2 linked regions of the Lonchura striata genome follow. Each later gene encodes a partner of the first gene's protein in a complex. Links are inferred from orthologs where the notes say so. Each region holds a gene or a part of one and is shown in the gene's direction. Other genes may lie near its edges. The genes, in order: KIF13B and ADAP1.

The links.
Region 2: the proteins of KIF13B (region 1) and ADAP1 are in contact, whole or in part, in a crystal structure (PDB 3MDB), measured with the Homo sapiens proteins. The link is inferred for Lonchura striata from reciprocal best matches to the Homo sapiens genes KIF13B and ADAP1. Residues at the interface, in NP_056069.2 of Homo sapiens: Val451, Asn452, Leu453, Asn454, Ala455, Asp456, Pro457, Leu463, Arg512, Phe514, Asn516, Gly517, Arg531, Leu533, Asn536, Asn537, Phe539; in NP_006860.2 of Homo sapiens: Trp137, Asn143, Gly144, Gln145, Phe146, Leu147, Pro186, Ala187, Lys188, Ile189, Gly190, His191, Pro192, His193, Tyr211, Glu213.

The regions. Positions count from the first base shown.
Region 1 is NC_134605.1:111,665,566-111,676,696, forward strand, and holds the start of KIF13B (kinesin-like protein KIF13B), read left to right. Parts: upstream 1-6,498; 5' UTR 6,499-6,550; coding exon 6,551-6,605; intron 6,606-11,131. UniProt on the Homo sapiens protein: Involved in reorganization of the cortical cytoskeleton. Regulates axon formation by promoting the formation of extra axons. May be functionally important for the intracellular trafficking of MAGUKs and associated protein complexes.
Region 2 is NC_134618.1:12,422,715-12,433,753, reverse strand, and holds the start of ADAP1 (arf-GAP with dual PH domain-containing protein 1), read left to right. Parts: upstream 1-5,990; 5' UTR 5,991-6,075; coding exon 6,076-6,160; intron 6,161-7,792; exon of another isoform or gene 7,793-8,238; intron 8,239-11,039. UniProt on the Homo sapiens protein: GTPase-activating protein for the ADP ribosylation factor family. Binds phosphatidylinositol 3,4,5-trisphosphate (PtdInsP3) and inositol 1,3,4,5-tetrakisphosphate (InsP4). Regulates the incorporation of CD63 and CD9 into multivesicular bodies.

The DNA.
Region 1 (11,131 bases):
ATGCAGATCCCAGGGAATGCAGATCTCAGGGGATGCAGATCCCAGGGAATCCAGATCCCAGGGAATCCAGATCCCAGGGGATGCAGATCCCAGGGAATCCAGATCCCAGGGAATCCAGATCCCAGGGAATCTGTGCCCACAGGTGATGGATGCCCATTCTACAAGAGCAGGAGTACATCCCTGTGCCAGCTCTATCTTTAAAATCAGCAGGAAAAAAAAAACCCAAAAAATACAAACAAACAAAAAAACAACAAAAACAACCAAAAAAACCCACACACACACCAAAAAAAAAAAACAAAACAAAAAAAAAAAAAAAAAAAAAAAAAAACCACTAAACGAAGAGAGGAAAAGGGAACATTGCAATCAGAGCTGATTTTATTTTACTCCGCCGCCACCGGGTGTCACTCTTGCCTGGGAGTCAGAAAGGATTTTTTTTGGTGGCTGATAAAATCCTTTTTCATCAATAAAATCCTGCGGCTCCCACTGGTGACAGCATCACCCTCACTTATCACAAACTCACGGTTCCAAAATCGAATTACCGACTCATTAGATCTGGGGAGATCTGGAGCTGGCACTTTGGCCTGCGATGCTATTTGCAAAACGCATTAAATCATTTTCATCATTATTTGTGTAAATGCAGCTGGAAAATTTAGATCTGGGTTTAGATCAGGTGTCCGAGGGAAAGAGATGAGGAGAGAAAGTAGGGATGGGTGAAAAAGCCCAAAAATGAGGTTTCTGCAGGTGTCTCCTCAGCAGCAAGAATGTGATAGAGCAGATGAAGCTGTAACACCTTCCAGCCTTTGAAGTCAAGGCAGTTCAGGTCTCACGGATCCTGTGACTCAGAATTTGGAGGAGATAAAGGCTACAAACATTACACAACCCCCTAAATATGCATTCTTCAGAGTATTGGTGACTGCCTAGTGTTGAGGGGAGTTTGCTTTTCTCTGATAACAAACCTGTCTTGCAACAGCTAAACCTGCTCTCCTGCTAAACTTGGTATTTTTCGAGCTCTCTCGAGACTCTCTGTTTCCTCCTAGGACAGAAAATCTATTCTCTTCTCACACAGATGAAATCCAATGTGGGATCTTTGTCTGAGGAAGGAACCACTCCAATAAAATGCAACGTGACAGGTAAAACCAGTTGCTTTGGCACAGGCTGGATCAACAAACTGAGCAGCTGATAGGGAAAATAAAAATTTTTAGTCAACAAGAGGAGAAAATTCTCATTAGGGGCCTCATTCTAGCACATAAATTGCTGATAATACCTCACCAGAGGTAAAAATTGTGTTGAAATTCCACAATTAAAGCACAGCTATAATGAATTTCCCTTCCATAAACAGGCCATGGATGGGATTTATGGGGATATCAGAGCCTGGGATTCCCTCTGGGTAACATAAGAATAAGCATCACATCCTATAATGCCATAAAATTTATGGCCAAGACTTTGAACATTGGAATGACTTTTAAAAAGAGGGAGATGTCTATAAAAAGTTTGTTTGGTGGGGCTTCACTCATATTTTGCTGCAAGAAGACGTCAAAGATTCGTTTATTTATCTGGGGATTCTTTTCACAGTGAGGGCAGAAGGTCACACACAAATACCTTTAAAAATCCATCTCAGGATCAGTGTAATTCAGAGTTATGAATGGCCTTGGAAACGATCAATCCTTCAAATTTACCAAGTTCCAATGAAAATAATAAAGCACAGAAACTGCTTTGCAAAAATTGGGGTGAATCTCCTGAACCTGCACATTTGCACAACGTCTTGCATCAGAAACTTCAGCAATTCCTCTGGAAACAAATAAATAAATTTTTATAACAAGCAGAATTTTGACACAAATTATTTGGAAAAATCAATTTGCTGTTTTATCCAGATTTTTTTTTCACCTGTTCTTAATATTTGTTTTCCTTGACACTTTCTTTCTCTATTAAAGTAGAAATAAATTCATAACATGTCTTCTGCTTTCGCTTGTGCCTCCAAATTTCTAATTCCTTTATGATTTCTGGGCACAAAGAAGGTCTACAGCAAATCCATAATCGATGCTTCTCTTTCGTTGCGCAGCCGAACAAATGGAAAAGCGGATTTAAAACGCACTCGATTTAGTTGCTTGCTGTGGTTTGGATGAACGGACATCCAAAGGACTGTCACGCTTTCTGGCTTGCTCGGAGATAAAATTCTTTCTAGATGATCTGAGAGCTGAAACATGCCTACCTTCATCAAGATAAAAGCAAAAATTTCTTCTTCCCTGGCGGGCTGGTGATAACGCACGCCCCGGGCAGGACACGCGTAACCGTGTATTACTAAGTAAAAGTAATCAAATTTAATTGTCAAAAAAAAAAAAAAAAAAATATATATATATATATATATATTAAGATCCTGTTTTTTCTCGTCCACATCCCTGTTCAAGCCCTGCCTCAACCAGGTGGGCACAGCCATCACTGTGGCTCCTCAACCTGATGACAACAGCGTCGCATTCAGAAACTCGATAAATGAATGGGAGGGACAAGCAGTGCCTCCCCCCCCCCAAGGATGTTTTGTTAATTAAATTAGCATTTAAATAGGCAGAGCTAATCTGGGAAGTCAGCCCCTCATTACAGTAACTAGGAAGGGGGAAAAGAGCTGCAGACAATTCCCTACAAGATGGGGTTAAGTTGGCGTTTCACAAACTATTTGCCCGGCCTGTCCCTCCCAAGTGAAAGCTGCCACCCCCCCCTCTTTCCTCCCAGCATAATTAGCATCTTCCAGAGCTGTGAATGGAAACAATATCCTCCCTCCGAGCTGTGCCCCTCCAGGGAGATGCTTCCCACAGATTGTGGGACCCCGAGCCAGGGAAAGGGCTTGTGGAGGAATTCACAGTGGGGGAATGACACTGAGGCAGAGCTCGCTGCCAGTGCGAGAGGAGCTGCACCGCTGGAATTCAGCGCAGGAAGCAGGCTGGAGCATAAAGGGAAAGTCCAGAGGCAGGACTTGCAGAGAGCCATGAGAATTTATTGCTCCCGAGCAATAAATAATAATAAATAATAAATAATCCTCCCAAAGCGCCCATCCACAGCACCAAAATTGAGAAGGGTCTCTGCGCTCTAAGGGTGTCTCTGCCTTTGAAGAACTTGGCAGGAGTAGCAATGGTTATGTGTAAATATCGTTTCTCCTTGGCTATTAGAAGTGAAGGAAGGCTAAAAAAGTGATTTTTCAATTTTTAAAACGGATTTTTCATTCCGAGTAGAAAACTGGAGTAAAGCGTGCAAGACTTAAAACCCACCAGGGACCTCTTTGTATTGTAAATGCAGGCGAACCCAATGGGAAGAAATGAGGATGTCTGACTCAATTCAGAAGGCTGAATGATTTCTTTATTATAACTATGTTAAAATACATTAATATACTATATAAAAGGAGGATACTAAAACTATATATTACTTTCTCTGACTTTATTTCTAACTTTCCTACAACTTGTGACCCTCTCTCTCTTGAGTCCAGCCATAGGTGGATTGGATTGGCCATCAGGTTCAAACAATTCTCCAAACACATTCCACATAGGGAAAAACAAGGAGCAGAAATAAAATTCTTTTTCTCTTTCATTTCTTTCTGTACACCTCTATAAAAAATCCTGAGAGGGAGAGAAATGTGCTTACCACATCTTAGGATCAAATTCAAAAGTGGTGTGTGATCCTTCCCCTGTAAGATTCGCTGTTTAATTTTACCAAAGCCAGTGGTGACTGATACAGGAGAGGAGGTGCAGGAGGAAGGGCTGGCTTTGGGTGGCACCTGCCATCCCCAGCTGTGTTCACACCTGGCCACGGGCTTCACCCCATTCCTCTAAATCAAATTCCAGGTGACTCAGCCCGAGGTAAAAACCACCCACCCTCCACTCAGATGAAAAGTCAGCATGACATTTATCTCCACGGCCAAAGTGCTCGCTTTCAGAAAACCTTGGTGCGGTTTTGTCGAGGCCCCAGCTGGAAAATACCACAAGAAGTTCAAAGCTGGGTTTCATCCTGTAATTGGATCCTCAAGTTCACAAGTGCAGGGACCAACTGTGCAGGCTCAGAGTGGGAAGTCCCCTCTCACAGGGAACTGAGGGGCTGCAGGTTCTGCTGTTTTCTCCTGCTGCAGATAAAAACTCACTTTTTGCTTCAAGCTTTCACAATTCTGCTTGCTCTGACCTGTTATTTAATATTTTTTTTGTAGCTTCAAGACATCTGCCCAGCCCTCATGCTTGCTTGGGATGCTGTTAGGAACATGGACATTAATCCCAGTGTGATTTCAATGCCAACTTAATATTCGGTTTCTCTCTGCTTTGACAAGATATTCTTCAGGTCAGACATGAAATGATAAATGTTGAGTGCAGTTCTTCTGGGCAAAAAGTGCCACCTGCCAAAATTTTATCTCAAACCCACTTGGACATGTGTTATTTATTTCTTTCTGTCACAAAGCCTCATTCAATGTTGGAAAGCCAAAGAATTACAACTGAATTTTAGGGGGGAGGGGGTTTCTGTCCTTGCTGAAATCTGCCCTTTCAAAGCAACATTGAGAGAATCTTTGTTTTGAACTAAAATAGCAGCTGCAAAGGTTTTCAACCATGACCATTTAAATGAGGTTTGGGGGTGGTTTTTTTGCATCTTTGCATTTTAGTTTCGTTCTTGGTCTTTGCAATGTGATTGAGCAGTTGAGGGGAATATTGAGGATAAATTGTGATATTGTTCAGGCAGTGTCTGATTATTCCTGCTGAGGTTTTTACTAAGCTGCCTTCGGTGATACTGGACCCACCAGGGGTTGCTTTGTGAAACCAGATCCAGACAGGACCTGACCCATGGTCCTTACCTTGAGTTGTAGCTCATGATGGTTCTCTGGGGTCTTTGGCACAGGAAAAACGTGGAGCTGATGGAGTAAAAACAGAGGAGGCCACAGAAATGCTCTAAAGACTGGAGTTCCTCTGCTCTGGAGCCAGGCTGGGGGTGTTCACCTGGAGAAGAGAAGGATCCAGGGAGATCTCAGAGCTCCTTCCATGTCCTAAAGGGGCTCCAGGAGAGCTGGAGAGGGACTTGGGACAAGGGATGGAGGACAGAACACAGGGAATGGCTGCACACTGACAGAGGGCAGGGATAGATGGGGTATTGGGAAGGAATTCCTGCCTGTGAGGGTGGTGAGGCCCTGGCAGAGGTTGCCCAGAGAAGCTGTGGCTGCCCCTGGATCCCTGGAAGTGTCCAAGGCCAGGATGGGTCTTGGGGCGACCTGCAATAGTGGAAGGGGTTGCTTTGGACCGACATGAGCTTTTAATGTCCCCTCCAACACAAACCATTCTGTGATTTTGTGATCTTAAACCGATGTGACTTATAAAGTGATTTCTGATGGACAGAAACCCTGTGGAACACAGAGGAAATTCCAAGGTGAGGTGTGCAAGTTCCAGAGGCAATGCCGTTGTCTGCTCAACATGAAATACCTCAGTATTTCCCCAAAAGGAGGGAACTGAGATGTGATGGGCTTCCCTTCAGCCACCCGGGGTAGAGTGGCAGGGCCTGGGGTGATCCTGAGCTCCCTGCAGTCTATAAATCCATTTTGGCTGCTCCCCCTGACGAATCCCTCTATTCTGAAGGACTCCACATACAAGCATTCAGTGCCTGGCTCTCTCACTTCAGTATGGATATTGAGGGCCTGGAGCGTGTCCAGGGATGGGAACGGAGCTGGGGAAGGGGCTGGAGCACCAGGAGGGGCTGAGGGAGCTGGAAAGGGGCTCAGCCTGGAGAAAAGGAGGCTCAGGGGGGACCTTGTGGCTCTGCACAAGCCCTGACAGGAGGGGACAGCCAGGGGCAGGGTCAGGCTCTGCTCCCAGGGAACAGGGACAGGATGAGAGGGAATGGCCTCAAACTGTGCCAGGTTGGTCATTGGGAAGAATTTCTTAGCAGAAAATCTGGTGCCCAGGAAGTTCCACCTGAACATGAGGAAGAGCTTCTTTCCTGTGCAGTGACCGAACACTGGAACAGGTTGACCAGAAAGGGTGTGGAGTTTCCCCCACTGGAGGTGTTCCAGGACTGTCTGGATGCAATCCTGTGCTCTGTGCTCTGGGTTGACCCTGCCTGAGCAGAGGGGTTGGACCAGATGACCCGCTATGGTCACTTTTAGATTGACCAGTTCTGTGATTCTGTGCTTAGACATCGGAAGGGGCTTTTTTTGGAGTCCCAATTCTTGCAGGTGTCCAAGGAGCACCTGGACATAGCACTCAGTGCTCTGGTCTGGTGACAAGGCAGTGATGGATCACAGGTTGAACTGGATGATCGCAGAGGCCTTTCCCACATTAATTAATTCCATGATTCAGCCAGCCTGCTCCATTACCAAGCTGGAGGCGGGAGAAAAAACTACACCTCCCAGCGCGCATCGCGGCACCCCGCCGGGAGCTGAGGAGGCGTGGCGCTGCGCGATGCTCGCTGGGAGTTGTAGTCCGGCCGGCATTGGCCCGGCACGGCACCTCCCTCCCGGGCGCTCCTCCCCGCTCCGGCTCTCCCTCGGCAGACGGAAGCCGGGCAGGGACGGGGGAGCCGCGAAGGCTGGAGCGGCAGGATGGGGGACTCCAAAGTGAAGGTGGCGGTGCGTGTCCGCCCCATGAACCGGCGAGGTGAGACTCCGTGTTCTTGCTCAGCATCCCTCTCCCCTGTCCTTCCCGGGAGCGGCGCGGGGGTGCCGGTCCTTGGGGACAGGTGTCGGTCGGGACAGGTGTGTCCCGGTGCGGGTGAATGGGTGCGTGTCCGTGTGTGCTTCAGTGTTTACCGGGAATAAACACGGCCCGGGTGGGCACAGGCGGGCGGCCGCGCCGTGCTCGCCCCCCTCTCCCGAGATCCCTTTTCCCAAACCTGCCTGGGTTGATGGATTTATTTTGCCTCGTCCGCTCCCCCGGGCGAAAAAAAGCTCTCTCCGCACCTCCTGCACCTGCTCTACAGCCGGTTCCTGCTGGGACAGCGCTTCCTTCTTCCCGCTTTGCGGATTTGGGGGAAAATGCCTCTTTTTTCTGCATTTTGTCCCGTGCTAATTCACCCCGCTGCTCTCCAACCCTCGGGGCTTGAGTGGGACGCTGTTAACCAGATGACAGCGACACAAGGACAAAAAACAAGCAAGAAAAGACAGAAGAGGAAGCGAGAATTGACAAGAGAATTTTTGTTGTTGTGGTTTTTTGGGTTGTTGTTGGCTTTTTTTTTTTTCTTTCCCCTCGACGAAACTTGCCTAAGGGTTATGGTAATCAGACCGTGGTCTGGGCAGCTGTTTAAATGTTTATTACTTGTCTTAATTAGAAAAACTTGCTCTGGATGATGAGGAAGCAAGTATGAAAAGGCAGCTTCAGCCAAGGAATGGGAAGGTGAAGAAGGCAGAAATCCAAGAAAGTGTAGGATGGCGCTTTTTTTATCCCACATTCTCACAGGAGTATGCCAATAATTCCTTTTGGGGAATCCAGTGAAGTCAGTTTAGTAGCTGAAGCAAAAAAAAATGAGGGAGAGGGAAAGCCCTTTATTGCCTACACCATCTGACATATAATACCTTTTTAATTCCTTTCAGTGAAAAGGGGTTAAAACATTAAATGCAGTGATTCTATGCCTGTAAAACGGCAGCAGGGGAATGTTCACTGAGTTCACAGGAGCTCCTGGATCCCACTTCCAGCACAAGAGATGGAATTGATGCCTTTACAGTCTGGTGGCTTAGAGAAACTGAGGATATTTTGACCAAAAGCTTCATTTTGTTATACTTCAGGAGCCAGCTCTCAAAACAGAGCAGAATCCATCCTTAGAGAGAATTGGTTGGAGGAGATGGAGTGGCCGTGGAGGAGTTGGTGGGAGCTGGGAGAGGAGCTGGAAGGTGGTGCTGGGTGTTGGTGACAGATCTGGGCTCTTGCTCATGTCCCTTTCCTGACATAGGTCATTTCCTTGGCTCTGCCCCAGACGTCTCCTGGCTGCTTGATGTTCCTCACCCCCGGGATTAGACAATAATTCAGGCTGGAAGGGACCTCTGGAGCACGTCAGATGAGATGAGCTCGCACAGGGCCTCCATCAGTGAAGTTTGGATCTCCAGGGGTGACTAATGCACCTCTTCCTCCCACATGCATCCTCGGTCTGTTCAGCCCCGAGTTTGTCCATATGTCCCTTTCCAGCCAGGAACTGCTGGGAATCTAGAGGAAATCTAGATTGTATCTTAGTACTCTCTTTCATGGAATATTCTGAGTTGGAAGGGACCCACAAGTCCAAATTCTCTTTGTCTTTTATTCTGAATAAACTTGAAAATCTTATGGACAGGATGACACTTGTCAGGAAGCTCATCCAGGAGTGAGGGACATTTGAGTATCAGTCCTTGATGCTCATCAGAGAGAAGGAGGGCCTGAACCCCCCACTCTTGGCAGTTTGCTGCTATTAAATATCCTGTTACTTGTGAGTGATACCTAAATCCATTTAAGTCTATCCTAGAAGATTCATGTATTTTTCTCCCTCAACCAAAATGTCCTGGAAGTGTTTTTTTTTTTTTTTCCCCAGCAGATTATTTGTCACAGTCCAGATGTTTGGCTGGGTCTAAACAACTGATCCTCCCTATGGTATTTCTGATGCACCTTGAATTTGTAGAAACAGACAGTGGTATGAAGGCTACAGTTTTTCTTACCTATTTAAAGTTAAATTTAAGCATTTTTGCAACTGATTTTCTGAAGATTCATCCATTTGTAAGATTTCTGGGGCCTTGCTTTTTCTTAATTAAGTTTTGAGGCAAGAGACAGCTTTCCTGGAAGCTCTTCCATACACATTTTGTTCTGAGCACTATTTGTATGGAGCTCTGGGACTTTGGACGTGAAGCAAGTATTTGTTTTCTTCAGGATCACGAGTAATGTTCTTTCCTTCCCTCTGCACCGAAGGGCTTAACGTTACAAACCTGTCAGATGGCTGAGACTGTGGAAAGTTAAGCTTTGAAATATTCTCGGTGTTTACTTGTGGTGGTGGTGGTTGTCTTTGGTGTTCGAGTTATTAATTTCTTAAGGCAAGGGTTTATTAGGTTAATAAAAGTGGTGTGCTTAACTGTTAGGAGTTTTTACAGCTCATAAAAGTATAATGGATTCCTTGCCTGCATGTGGAAGGGATTTGTGTATCAAATAATTGGTTATTTATAGCACTCACATTTCAGGGTGTTTGGATTGAGGGTCTCGCTTCATTCTCATGCAGAGTGGTAATCCATAAATTCAGTTTATAGCACTAATTTTTAGTGAGAGGAAGTGTTTCTAATTGTACTTGGGTTTGGACTTTTTCTGCATCCAGGCTACTTCATTTTGTATCTTGCTTCAAATGAGACCTCAGTCCTACCAAGCCTGTGCTGAAGCTTTGCTTTTATAAAATTGCTGCTGTGTCCACACGTTCGCAGTGCCACGTCTGAAGCTGGAGGCTCTCCTGGGTGGCAACTGAGGCGTCTTTTTTTACATCCCTTCTACTTTGCAAACTGGGATCTCGATTAACAGGCTTTTATGAATTAAATAATTCAGTACTGCTTTGTTAGATAAGGCTCCTGGTCTTTTATTTTCTTGGCTCTGTAATTCACTAAAGTATTTCCTAGTGCACTGCGTTATTCAGATGAGGGTTTGATAACAATCAGGAAGTTCTTTTGGTGTTTTATTTAAGATTTGCAGTGGATTTCCTTTTGCAAGTGTCATGTTTGACTTCTTTTAGCAGATATTCATCATATTTCAGGTAAATGCAAATCTCAGGCCATACCATGAAGCAAAACAAATGACAGCTGAAGGCTTTTTAATTAAGAATTTTATGACTGAATGCTTTGTTTTCAGGTGATGTTTGGGTACAGGCTGTACATAAGTATATTAAGTCACTGTGTTTCCTTGTGTTTTTGAATCAGTTCAGTGTCGTGTTAATTAATGCTGACAAAAGTTGTTCTGTTTTAAAAGAACATGACTTGTGCTCAAGGATATTGCTTGACACTTAAGCCAGTCCAGACTGCTACATCTCCCTTGGGTCAATACTTTTTGAACAAGAAAGGCAGGAAAGCTACTGCCTGTATTCTGGCAATGCTGCCATGTTAAACTGTACTAGGATTGTAGTGTAAGACCTGCAGCTCCAGTTTAAATACCTGGGTTGCCTGTAAGTACACATTCAGGTATCTGTTGTGTTGATATGTATATTTATCCAGACTGTCAGTGTTGAAACAGGGATCTTCTCATGCTTTTATGCTGAAGATTCTGTTTCCAGTGCATGTGAGGAAGGAATTTGCTTCTGTATCTGTACAAGCTTCTGATCGCTGTGTCAGGTGGTAATTTTATGTCCTTCTATTCTTCTTGTAGGAGGTTTCATTTCCAGCTACTCGAAACGTTTTTGGGGTTTGAGGTGAGGAAGTGGGGGTTGTTCCTGTGCTCTTGTTTGTTTGTTTTGCCATGGAAATTACTACAGAGACAACTTATCTATAAACTGAAGTTTGTGCAAGCAGGTTTATAAGATTAATTACAGTATTAGAGGGCGTGAAGTGGCACCTGTTGTATCGTGATGGCAATGTGCAAACCACAAGGCTTTTCTTCACCATTATCCTTGTAAAGCACGACTGCCTGGAGTTTGGAATATTTCCTGGTGATGGTTGATAAGCTATAAAACTGTTTGGGCTACAAGCAGGATTAACCTTGAGATAAGGCGGCACATGGGTAAAAGATGCAGAGTTAATGTTTCATCTTGTGAGGCAATTGTATTTTAAGGGCTTCTGCAGCCTTACTCCTCCCCACAGCCAGAGACTCCCGGACATCCAGCGTGGATGCCACAAAGGAATTTTAGTGCTGATTGTACCTTCCAAGGAATTTTAGTGCTAATTGCACCCTCTGAGCTCCAAGTGCAAGGGGAGGTTCCCTTGCTGCTCTGGTTTCAGGCTGGCTGCTCCTCCTGAGGATCAGATACACCTGGAATAGCTCTGCCTTGGCTTTAGGGTGCTTGGTGGCTGAGCAAACTCTTGCATTTCATGCCTGTTAATAACTCTGGAGTGTTGAACTTCTCTGGGAGCTCACCAGAGTCCCCACACTGATTTATTTACTCTGTCCAGGGGTGTTTGCAGAGCTGGCTGTGAGCAAGGTCCATGTCCAGATCCATGACGTGCCTTCACTAAAGCTGTTTGAAAAGCTCTTTCCTTGCA
Region 2 (11,039 bases), on another chromosome or scaffold:
CACCCTTTTAAGCAGTCATGGCAGGAGACTTGCAGGTGTGGTGGTGCCAGCTAAGAAGGACTCATTTGAGCACAGAGATGTCTGGATTGATGGCTTTATTTCAGCTTATTTTAGCAAGTAATAGGCAGGGGGGTGATGTTTATCACTGAAACTGGAGCTGGCTGTACTTTAGATCACAGCTCTAATCGGCTGGACTGACTGGGACAGTAAATCACTTCAGCAGCACTAATAACACAGGGTGATGGGTGTAGTAAACCCTCTATAGCAGCAATAACCTGGTCCTGCTGGTTCTTTCACTCAGGTTGGTGCTTCTGCTCTGGTTTGTTTATTAAAGCTCCTTCACAAAAGTCACCTGGGTGACTGCTCCGACTCAGCCATTGAAATGGCTGCTCTCCTGCCATTCCCCAACCTGGCTTGGGCTCTTTTTATACCCTGCTATAAAACTGTTTATTTTTGCACCTGTTTAGAAAGGCTTTTTGGCCACAGGGGTCTCATGATGTTGTTTTCATGGCTTCTGGAGCAGGGCTGCTCTGTTGTTGCTAGAAATAATTACTGTTAATTAATTCTTTGCTGATTTTTCTTTGGCAAAGCATACTGAAATAAACAGATAAATGAGCAGCATGCTCTGTATCTCAACGTTGTGGGAGCTTTTAGGAGGCATACAGTGACATCCAAATGATCCCATCAGCAGCCAGAGGAAGGGTGGGACATGGCCCTCAACTTTGTGTGGACAAAGTTAATTGGGGGGAGGCTGAATTACCATCTCCAGCTGTTTGGCAGCTCTCTTCAGGCTATCATTTTTAATCTCTTTCTAGAGAAAAACCACAGTTTTGTTTCCATCTACTACTTCATTCAAATCACAGCTGAGCAGTGCTACAGAAGGGGATGTGCTCTCAGCTGCCTGAGCTGGACCAGCAGTCTGTGACACGAGACTGACCACTGGGGCCCATAACTGCACTGATTTCTCCCTTCTTCTACGGCCTTTTGAAATGGTTTATCTTTTTTCTTCTGAGGAACTCAGGCTCTGCTGCAGAGACTTCCAGACCAGAAGTGAAGTGCTGGGCTTGCCCCCTGTCCTGTGGCCCTGCCTGTAGCACCACCATCCTCTCTGCTCTGTGTCCCTGGCTGGGCAGCCCCTGGCTCCAGCACCCAGGGCTGGCAGCAGGTGGGTGGGTCACTTCAAGACATCACACAGCTCTGTCTCCTGCTTGAATGTCTCCAAGCTGTTCCTGGAAGGATGAGCCATCTGAGCCAGGAAGAGATTAGCTTATTGAAATAGAGCAAAGGCAATCTCCACGATAAGTGCTGCCCTGCTGTTTGCACACCGAGCCCGTCCTGCTGTGTCTCTGACTCACACTGAACTGATGACGTCCTGCTCTGAATAATCACTTTGACTATTTTTTGGAGGAGCTGAGTCCCTGATGTATGAGTGTCATCACACACAGGTTGGCTTTCTCCATGCAGAGATTCCACAGGCCTCAGCCTCTCAATTAGGGTAAATCAGGAATAATGCTGAAAGCAGTGGTCTGCCACAGACATAGGTGAGCTGTTGACTTCCTTGGACTAATTTCATCTCCTCTGTGCGCAGAAAAGAGCCAGTCATTGGACAGTAGAAATCAGCTGCAGCTGCCATGGAGCCAATTCCCTCAGCTGCCCCCTCCATGTCATATTTCACATCATAGGAAATGGGTTTGGTGCAACAACAGGACTATTGCAGAGCTGTTTTTCTTACACTGAGATTTCCCCAGGTGCCATGGAGCAGACATACAAATATTCACCATCTTCAAGCCATCAATTAACCCCCCCCCTCTCTCTCAGACATATTTTGGCTCCCAACCACGCTGTCTGAGCAACTAAGCAGCCCCTGTAACCACGTACTGACCCCCAAACCAGCCCAATGCTGGCCAGAGGCAGGCAGAAAAGAAACTGAAAGAGTGTCCTGAGCACATGACAGGCTTGTGGTTGGAGAAGTTTTGTGGCAGCATGGCTGTGAGAGAGCAGTGATCAGCTCTGGGGTGTTGCAGAAATCTAAAAAAGGAGATTTTGGTCTGAACACCCCCCCCCCCCCCCCCCTCCTTTGCCCTTATTCTCCCCTGTTCTGCTTCCCTACAAAGGATCTCTGTGGTCTGGTTTGCATGGTGGTAACTGCATGACTGTTCAATCATGGGAGCAAAGGATTCCCCTTTTTTCACACTGGTGACACTGGGCTGCAATAGAATTAACTACTATGCAAATGGAAAGAAACCCTGATCTACAGATCACTCTGCAGTGAGACACTTTTAAACCTGCACAACACTTTTTCTTCTTTGAGGGCTGCTGCAGGTGCAGAGCAGCTCTGCAGACACAGGACATCACAGTTCTTTTTATACCCTCACATAATTTCTCCTGCATTATCCTCTTCAACTCAATCCACACATCCTAACCACACAGATGCTGTGAGTGGGCTTTTCCCTGTGCCACACACACAAAAAAATCTCACAGGCTCCCTACAGCAATTTGCTCAAAATAAGAGAAAGTTGGCATCAGTATTGGATTTTTGGTTCAAGCATTTTTAAACTGCCCTGCTCTGAGCTCTCTGCTCTGTGGCATTCCTCCCTCCCAGCTATACCCACTCTTGATTTAACTGGATAACCCAGAAAACTCTTTATTTTTTACAAGAAAAAAACTCTAGGATTGGTTTCTTCCTTTTTTCTTTTTCTTTTGAACAGGAAACCAATACTGCAACGGAAATGAGCTGGTGCTTATTTAACATAGGTGCTGGTGCCAGTACTGCAGCTTGTTCACACAAACCTCCAGCTGCAAGAGCTGCCTCCCCTGTGGTGCTGAGGAAGCCTATGGAATCCTGCCTGGTGTATCTGCTACTCCAGAGTTTTGCTTGAATGCAGTGGCATGAATTATTGATATTTCTGTTCAGGTTTGCTGTTCACGCAGGAATTTGTAATGCTTCCCCACGTTGTGCTGTGAATGCGCTCCCGGGTCACATCAAGGGTTGTGTTTAACACCCTTTTACTTGCATGGTTGTGACATTGATTTATCCATTTCAGGGCTAGGGCTTCGAAATTAACTAAACCCCAGAGAAAACAGCCCTTTCCTAACAAAAGGCAGTCTGGGGTGAAAGGAGCTGATAAGGAAGGGCAAGGAGAACGTATAATGATGTCTGTGCATTTTCAGGGCGTCACCACAAAGATGATGGAAAGGTTTCCAGGAATTTCTGGGTGTTCTTTGCTCTGACCTCAGTATCTGGCATTTCCAGGGGCTGCCCTTGCTTAGCACCTCAGGAGATGGCATTAATAATGTCCGTTTCTAAGGCAACAACCTTGTGACTTGGAAAAGACTGAGTTGAAAGTGTGTGTGTTTACAAACAAACACATCTTACACATAAATATGTAAGGATTTACATACATATGGATATGAATTTATGCCAGACCTCCAAGTCACTTAGCAGTGGAGAGACAGGAAGCATCTGAATGAGGGTGATGTACTGACAGCAACGACAACCTATCTCCAGAGAGTTTGGTCAGAGATTTCACAAGAAGTAGGAGCAAATTCATTTAGGCACCCCCTGAAAGGTGCTACCCACGGAAAAAGTGTGGGCAAGCTCAGAGGAGGGAACAGTGTGACATGGACAAGCCTGAGCAGCGATGCCCATCAGCCTTCTCTAGCCCTGCAGGAGCAACCTTTGCTCTTTACCCCGTGTGAGATATAAATTCAGATGCAGTCCCTGGTCTACGCCAGGAATCACACTCCTCAGGAGTCAATGTCCATCAGGAGAACCTCGGTGCCTGCCCTGGATCAACACTGGGGCAATACCCAACCTCTTAACCTCAGGTAAACCAGGAGTAAATTTACAGAGATACCCTTGTATATGTGAGGTCGGCTCAAGCCTTTGATTTTCCATTGAACAAAAGTTTATCTTCATTTCTGGCTTATTTAGTTCTAACTTTTCTCCCTGACTCTCCACATTCCCTCCACCCACAGGGGCTGTTTGTTTCCCCGTGTGGAGTCTGGAGTAATTGTGATGAGATTTAAATGCTGAGGATGCTGCTGATCGACCCTTGCTGGCCCTGCTCTGCCTGTCCTTTATGAAACTCTCCCCTCTCATCATTGACAACAGGCTCTGTTTTATTTGATTTTATTACAAGATATAAATTTCTGTCTGCAGCCCTGGCTTCCAGCACACGGAGGAGAGAGAGGAATCGCCTAGCAACCAGGGGAACAAAAAATTAAGAGAATCAATAAGTCTTAATGGAAAGCTAAACAGAGACTTTCAAAGCAAACCCTCTCCCTGCTCCCAGCCCCGGCCCGTGGTAAGCCCATGACGATGTGCAGCATCCTGGCTATTGCATGGAGCATTCAGCAAATGCCTCTTCTGGAAAAGCCAAAGTGCAAATGAAAACCTGGCCTAACGTGGGCTTAGGTAAAGCTCTGAGCCTGTGGCATTGACACTGTCAAGCTTGAACACAGCACAGGTGTGGGGGGTTAAGGTACTCTGCTGAGCTGGTTTCACTCTGAGGGTGTTAGAAGTCAGTGCTCCAGGTAAGTGTCAGTGACTCAGAGCCTGAAGAAGGTGAGGGTCTGGATGCAGCAGCTGTTTCCCCACAAAAGGTCTGTTTGGAGGATTATGCCTTTGGTTAGGATGGGACTGAGTTTCCAGACGTTATCAAGCTATGTGTGTAAAACCAGCAAGCCCAGCACGATGTGTGACACTGGGTTGAGTCAGCAAGGAACAGTGCAGCATCCAGTTAAAAACAGAAATAAACCTGGATACAGTCACCTGTCTGGCAGCACAAATGTAAAGGTTATTTAGGAAAATGTATTCCAGGCAAAGGGAGCATTATAAATGTACCAGGCCATGACTCTGCCTGTATTTAAGGGTCTATTTTCTCTTACAAAGTGTTCTCAGGAACCTGCTTGCATGCTCATGTTTGCAGGATCAAGATGGTGGTTTGGTTGTGGAAGTTTTCCAGGAGCTACTGGCAGCCTCCTCCTGCAGATGTTTGTGCACACCCCGAATCTCATGGGCAGCATGGATAGCATGAGCTGAGCTTGCAGGAGGGCTCTGCTTTGTTGGAGAAAACAGAGTTGGATGATTTAAATGGGGACCTGCTTTGCAAAACCAAGATTGTTTTTGTAAGCAGAGATTTGTGAACCAAAAACAGGACATTGCAGCATCACAGGTGACCCATACATGATAAAAAGGTTTCAGCAGGGGTTAAGGAGGCACAGCTCCGAACCTTTCCTTGGCCAGAAGATCCTCACATCCTGCCCAAGTGACACATTAGTCTTTGACTGGCAAAACAAGTCTTGTCCCATAGATGGCATGAGATGGACAGGCATGATGGCACAGGGATGTTTTCCCCCCTGACACCATGGAGGTGTGAAAAATGTGGGAAGACATTGGAGCACAGTCCTGCCAGGACACAGACATGGCAGCTGGTGGTGATGTGCAAGGACATCAGTGAAGGAGGAGCGGTTTTGGAGTGCGCGGGGCTACTGATGAGACCTTCAGAAAAGGTGATCCCCAAAGCTGAGCCCCAAAAGCTGCTGATGTTCGAGGGGCATCCCGAACGTGCTGCTCACGAACCTGCCAAGCTGCTTGTGTGGCAGGGCCCCGGCCGGGGAGAGCTTGGGGTCGCTGCCAGCCGCCGCCTCGCACAGAAGATCCACCGGCGACAGCATCCCTTCCGCGGGCAGGAGTTAAAGCAGGAGAGGTATCCCCGAAGGACGGGACGCCCCGAAGGTCGGCGACCCCTCGGGGGCAGCGCCGCCCGGGTGGCCGCTGGAGGGCGCGGGGCTCCGGCAGCGCCGCTGAGCGCGGAACCGGCGGCACCGGCGGGAGGCACCGGGGCGGGCAGGGCAGCACCGGGGCGGGCAGGGCAGCACCGGGCAGGGCAGGGCAGCACCGGGGCGGGCAGGGCAGCACCGCCCCGGCGGCCGGAGGCGCGCTCGGCGTGCGCGGGGCGAGCGGGGCCGAATGGAGCCGCCCGGGCGCCGCCCGCCTCGCCAGCGCCCCCCGCCCGCGCCATGAGGCTGCCGTAGCGCCGCGGACCGAGCGCAGCCCCGGCAGCCGCCCCCATGGCGAAGGAGAGGAGCAGGAAGGCGCTGGTGGAGCTGCTCCAGCGGCCGGGGAACGCGGCGTGCGCCGACTGCGCCGCGCCGGGTAAGGGCAGGGGAGGCGGGGGGCGCGGGCGGCGGCTGCACCTGCACCTGTCCGCACGGCACGGCACGGCACGGCACGGCACGGCACGGCACGGCACGGCACGGTACGGTACGGTGCAGCACCGCACGGTACCGCTCGGCTCGGCTCGGCAGAGACCGGGCGCGGGGCTCTGCCCGCTCCGGACCGCCGGGGGTCGCGCCCCGCCGAGGGTGTGCCCGACCCCCTCCCCGCCCGGGGGATGCAGCGGGGATGCTCCGGGGCTGCTGGAGGGATGCGCTGCGCTGCCGCGGTCCCCGCGGACCAGCCCCAGCCCGGGTTTCCCCAGTTTCCCCCGGCCCGGCCCGGCTCCTCGCCCGGCCGTGAGCGCTGATGTCATCCCGGCGGGTCCCCGCGGGCTGCAGCGCAGCCGGGGCCGGTCGCCGGGCGGGGGGCTCTGCCGGGGCGCCCTGCCTGCGGGGCGTCCTCCGTGTCCCCGAGGCTGCTCCTGCCCTGTCACTGAGCAAACACATGGGGACGAGCGGCGGCAGCGCTGCGGACATCGTGGCCAACAACCTTTGCCCAGCTGCCATCGATGGGTGCCTGCGCGGGGAGCGGGGCTGGAATGCCTGTAGACGTTTTCGTGTGCGGTGGGGAGAAAATCTGGGCTGGGAATGTCTTATTCGCCTTTTGGATGGTGAATTTTTGGAGTCGGGCCGTGATGCTGTTGCTGAGCAGAGTCTGCATGGGGCGGTGGGATCTGTCTTTGAGAACAGCCTTAGAAAAATTGCAGAGCAAGTAACTTTCCTGTTTTTAAAAAGAAAAAAAAAATCACCATACAGAAAAACCTACATTTATATTAGCTCGAGCAGACTGGCTCTGAGGAGGGATGTAGAAAGGATGTCCTTCTCAGCCTCTGTCATTTTATAGGTTAAAGAATAACCCAGCACTTCAGCTGAGCCCTATTTTCCCAGCTATTGATTTGTTCAGGATGTCAAGATCTATTGGATACCGCTATCCAGCTCATACCATTCCCGGTGGTTTTATATGCCTGATCTGCATCCCAGGACACTGCAGTTCACTTTCAGATGCGTTGTGTCCTCCGGTACCCAGCTGGAAAGGACAAAGAACTTCGGGCACAGCGTGAGAGGCTTTGCAGCGCCGCGCTGCTCTGCCGGCTCCCACCCATCTGCTGCCGGCTGGTGCTGACTGTACCAGCCCACCTCGCTGAGCTTGGGCTCCCCGTGTAGGTGTCCGCCTAAATTGTTCCTTCCTGGAGAAAACTTTACAAACCTGGGCCCTTCAGATCAGCAGGGTGATTCTCCCTCACCCTGTGGGTATAAAACATAAAGCCCCCAGGCAAAATGGGAAGCTTCTCAGCGTCACCAGGGTGGAGATGGAGCTGTAGGTCAATAAAATAGCTCATATCAGGATAAGAAGCTTGTTGTTAAAGGCACAGAAAGGGCTTGTAAAACAACAAAACCATACTTTGGTTTTGGTGACATTTGCATACAGAGATGTCTTAGTGAATCTGAAAGTCAGAGAGGAGAATTTGGGCCAGTGTCTTTTGTAAGTCAAGATCTGCTATATTAATATCATTCTACCTCTTCTGAACCCTCATGGCATTATTTCCTTAGGACCACCCTCCTGTTCAACCCAATTCCTTTAGTGACTACTTTGCTTCAGTTTCTTTGGCAAAGTAGAGCTATTCATGGTGCTCGTCTGCCTGGGAGTGACAATAAACTTGAGATGCCCTGGGCTACTTAACATAAGATAATCACTTGTGTCTGTAGGTAGTATAGAAAATACTCGGCCTGAATTCAGTTATTCAGTCTGGGCAGGTGTGGCAGGCCAGCTCTTTTTGGGGATGAGGTAATGCAGCAGATGCAGGATAAGTGTCCAGAGAGCCTCCAGAAAGGGGTGCAAGAATGTTCTTTGCTGAGAAGTGGGATGCACAAAAAGATAAAGGTGACAGCTGGAACCGGGTGGGCAGCTGACACTGGAAAAGTACCAAAGCAGAGAAAATGAAGTGAAAAGGAAGAGGGAGGCTGTGGAATGAACAGAAGATGAGGGAAGCAGGGCAGACTTGTGCTTTACCACATGTGAGTATCATGGTAGGGCTGATCTGGTACAGCTGGGGGGAAACCAAAGATTCGGATTTGTTATTGCTGTTTCTCAGGTGGGTGAGTGCCTTTCCCTGAAATACTCTGTTAATACAGGATCCAAGATAAGAGGGAGCCATTTAGCTCAGGGATGCTCATAACAAAGAACAGGATGGGTTGGAAATGTAACAGGGGAAAATTCTGTCACTTTAATTTGTGTATTTGGAAGCCAGCTGGGTTTTCTTTTTCTTTTGGAAATATTTGTTTGAGAAATCAACCAGACGGTGAAAGTTTGTTTGTTTTTTTCCTTCCTGCTGTAAAAAGGGTTATTTTCTTTTGTTACTTTTTTGGCATTTGGGAGAGGCTCAGCAGCCAGAGCCCCACAGCTTGTCGCAGGTATTCTGTGTCCTGTCACAAACCCCTGGTGCAATGGAGCTCTCAGCTTGGCATCCCTGGGCTAAGCTGTGACCATACAAAGTCAAAGCTGGGGACAGACATGGGGCATCTGGGGAAGCTTTTCCTCCTGGGTAGGGTAAATAACTTCATCCCCTGCAGGATCAGCCCATCTCCTTGGGGACATCTGGGCACAACCTGCTGCTTGCCTGGGGCTGGGCCAGAATTTGCCACTGAATCATGACTGAGGATTATTGAAGTGCCCAAGTAAGGCTCTGCTGTTCAAGGTGTGTTTCCCTGGTGTGTGCACAGGATGTGCCCACTTGCACCTGGGTGGAATGGGGTACTAAATGTGGTGCTCAGCAAGGTCAGGTCTGGCTCTTCCCCAGGACCTGTGCGTATGTCTGGCAAAAAAAAAAATCTCTTTTGCAAACAGATTTTTGGGGATGTCTCAGGTGGAGAGAACAGTCTGGCCATGGCAGCTGAGAATGCAGAAAGGATGCTAAAGTAGAAAGTGAAAATCAGAGTGTAAAATCACTGAGAGATTACAGTTTTCACTTTTTTGTGTTTGGTGTTTGGAAATTATTTTTTTAGGTTTTTATTAATTGCGTTTTTATAAAACCTTAAATTGCAATGAGAGGTTGTTTTGAATAAAAGGTGTTTCAGTTGCAAAAAATGTCATCGATCTGTAATGCATAATGAGACTGCCTTGGTTACATCCTTGGGACTGAATTCTGGGGCAGGAGCCACTAATAAAGTCATTAGATGGGGCTTTGGGTCCTCTGTCATTGCACACTTCTGTGTCCTGGCTGTTGTGTTTTTTGTGGGTTTAAAGCTGTGCTGTCTCAGTGAAGACAGCATGGTAAATGCAGTCTTAAGTGCAAACTGAGCAATGTTACTGAATTGCTGGTGTGTAATGGCTCTCTGTGCATTAGAATAATCTTTTTTTCTCCAAGACTAATGTGGCAGTTCAGCCTTTTCTTTTTTCTAAATGATTCTTTGTCTCAGGCAATCTTTCCTCACATCATAAGACGGATGGTTATCTCAGGGCATAACAAGACCTTGAGTATTTCTCTCTTTATTTTTCTATGACTTAGGCTCGTGTTTCCATGGAGTGAGAATTATTTTACATTGTAGGAGGACAGAGAGGCTCTGAAGACAGAAATGGAAATCCCATCAAAGCAATCCTGCAGTTTAAACCCTCCAGCAGCAGTTTACATGGCTTGTTATCATTTTATCTTTGTTATTTGGGATGGATTACTGAGACATGGATCCTGGCTAACACTGGCCTCTGTGCCTGAAGCCCAGGGAGGGGTGAAGGATGGAGGAAGAGCAGAAGGCTCATGCTGGAGGCTCATGGAGCTCTGCTGCTCTAATGGTGTGAAACGAGATTTTCTTCCAGCTCCAAGTGGAAACTTGTTTCTGTACCTCCATTGCCCTCTCACTTAAATACTGATTTTTTAAAAATTATTATTATTTGGTGTCCCTGAGAATTGGCCAGCCTTTCTCCCCAGCTGTAAGCAGAGGAGTAAGAAGGAAAAAAAAATCCCACAGCAGTTGTGTTTAGCTCAATGCCACTTTCTGCAGGAAAAAGGGCTTTTTGAAACAAAGGAGGTTTAATGTGATGGTGGTTTTTGTCCTGTCCTGGTGCCTGGGCTGCAGCACAATCGTGGGCTGCAGACAGCGAGAGGGGGCTGCTGGGACCTGCCAGCTGAATTAAAAGACCTTGGCAAGTTTAGTGCCTTCACTGAAAAATTTTCCTACTTAGAGAGGAGAGTTGGTGGGAGGTGGTTTGACTTCAGTGTTAACTCTTTTATTGTTATTTTTCAACATGCGTGACCAGGGTCTGTTTGTCAGCCTCCTAATCCTTCCCCAGAGTAAATAGCTGCAGAACTTCAGTGCTGAACACCAGTTCTCTGTCTCGGGCATGGGGAAATGAGCAGCAAGCAGGAAAGGCTTTGTGCTTGTGTGGACTGCACTGAAATCCCCGTGGTTCTACCCTGCATCAGCGAGTCGCATTTCTAGTGCAGGGGAAAAAAGGTTTTGTTTGCCTGGAGAGGTCTCTCTATCAGCTTAAACAGGAGGGGGTTCAGGAGAATCCATGGAATCTGCATCCCAAGCAGGGACCAGCTCCCAGCCAGCTGCAGTGGCAGGGGCGCAGCAGGGTCAGGCCATCATTCTGTGCTGAAGGATGTCCTGAGGATGTGGTGCTGTGCATTGGCCTCAGATGTTTGCCTTGATCATCAGTATCGTGCTAGAAGTAGTGGGAAATGTTGTTTAAGGTAAAAGGTGGAGCAGGAGCATCCAAATTTTGTGACTCTTTGAGTTCTTGCTCTTTCCTACTTTGAGCCTGTTGCTGCTCTGCTTCATGGGATTTTACTCGAGTTGATGACACTTCGGGATTTTCA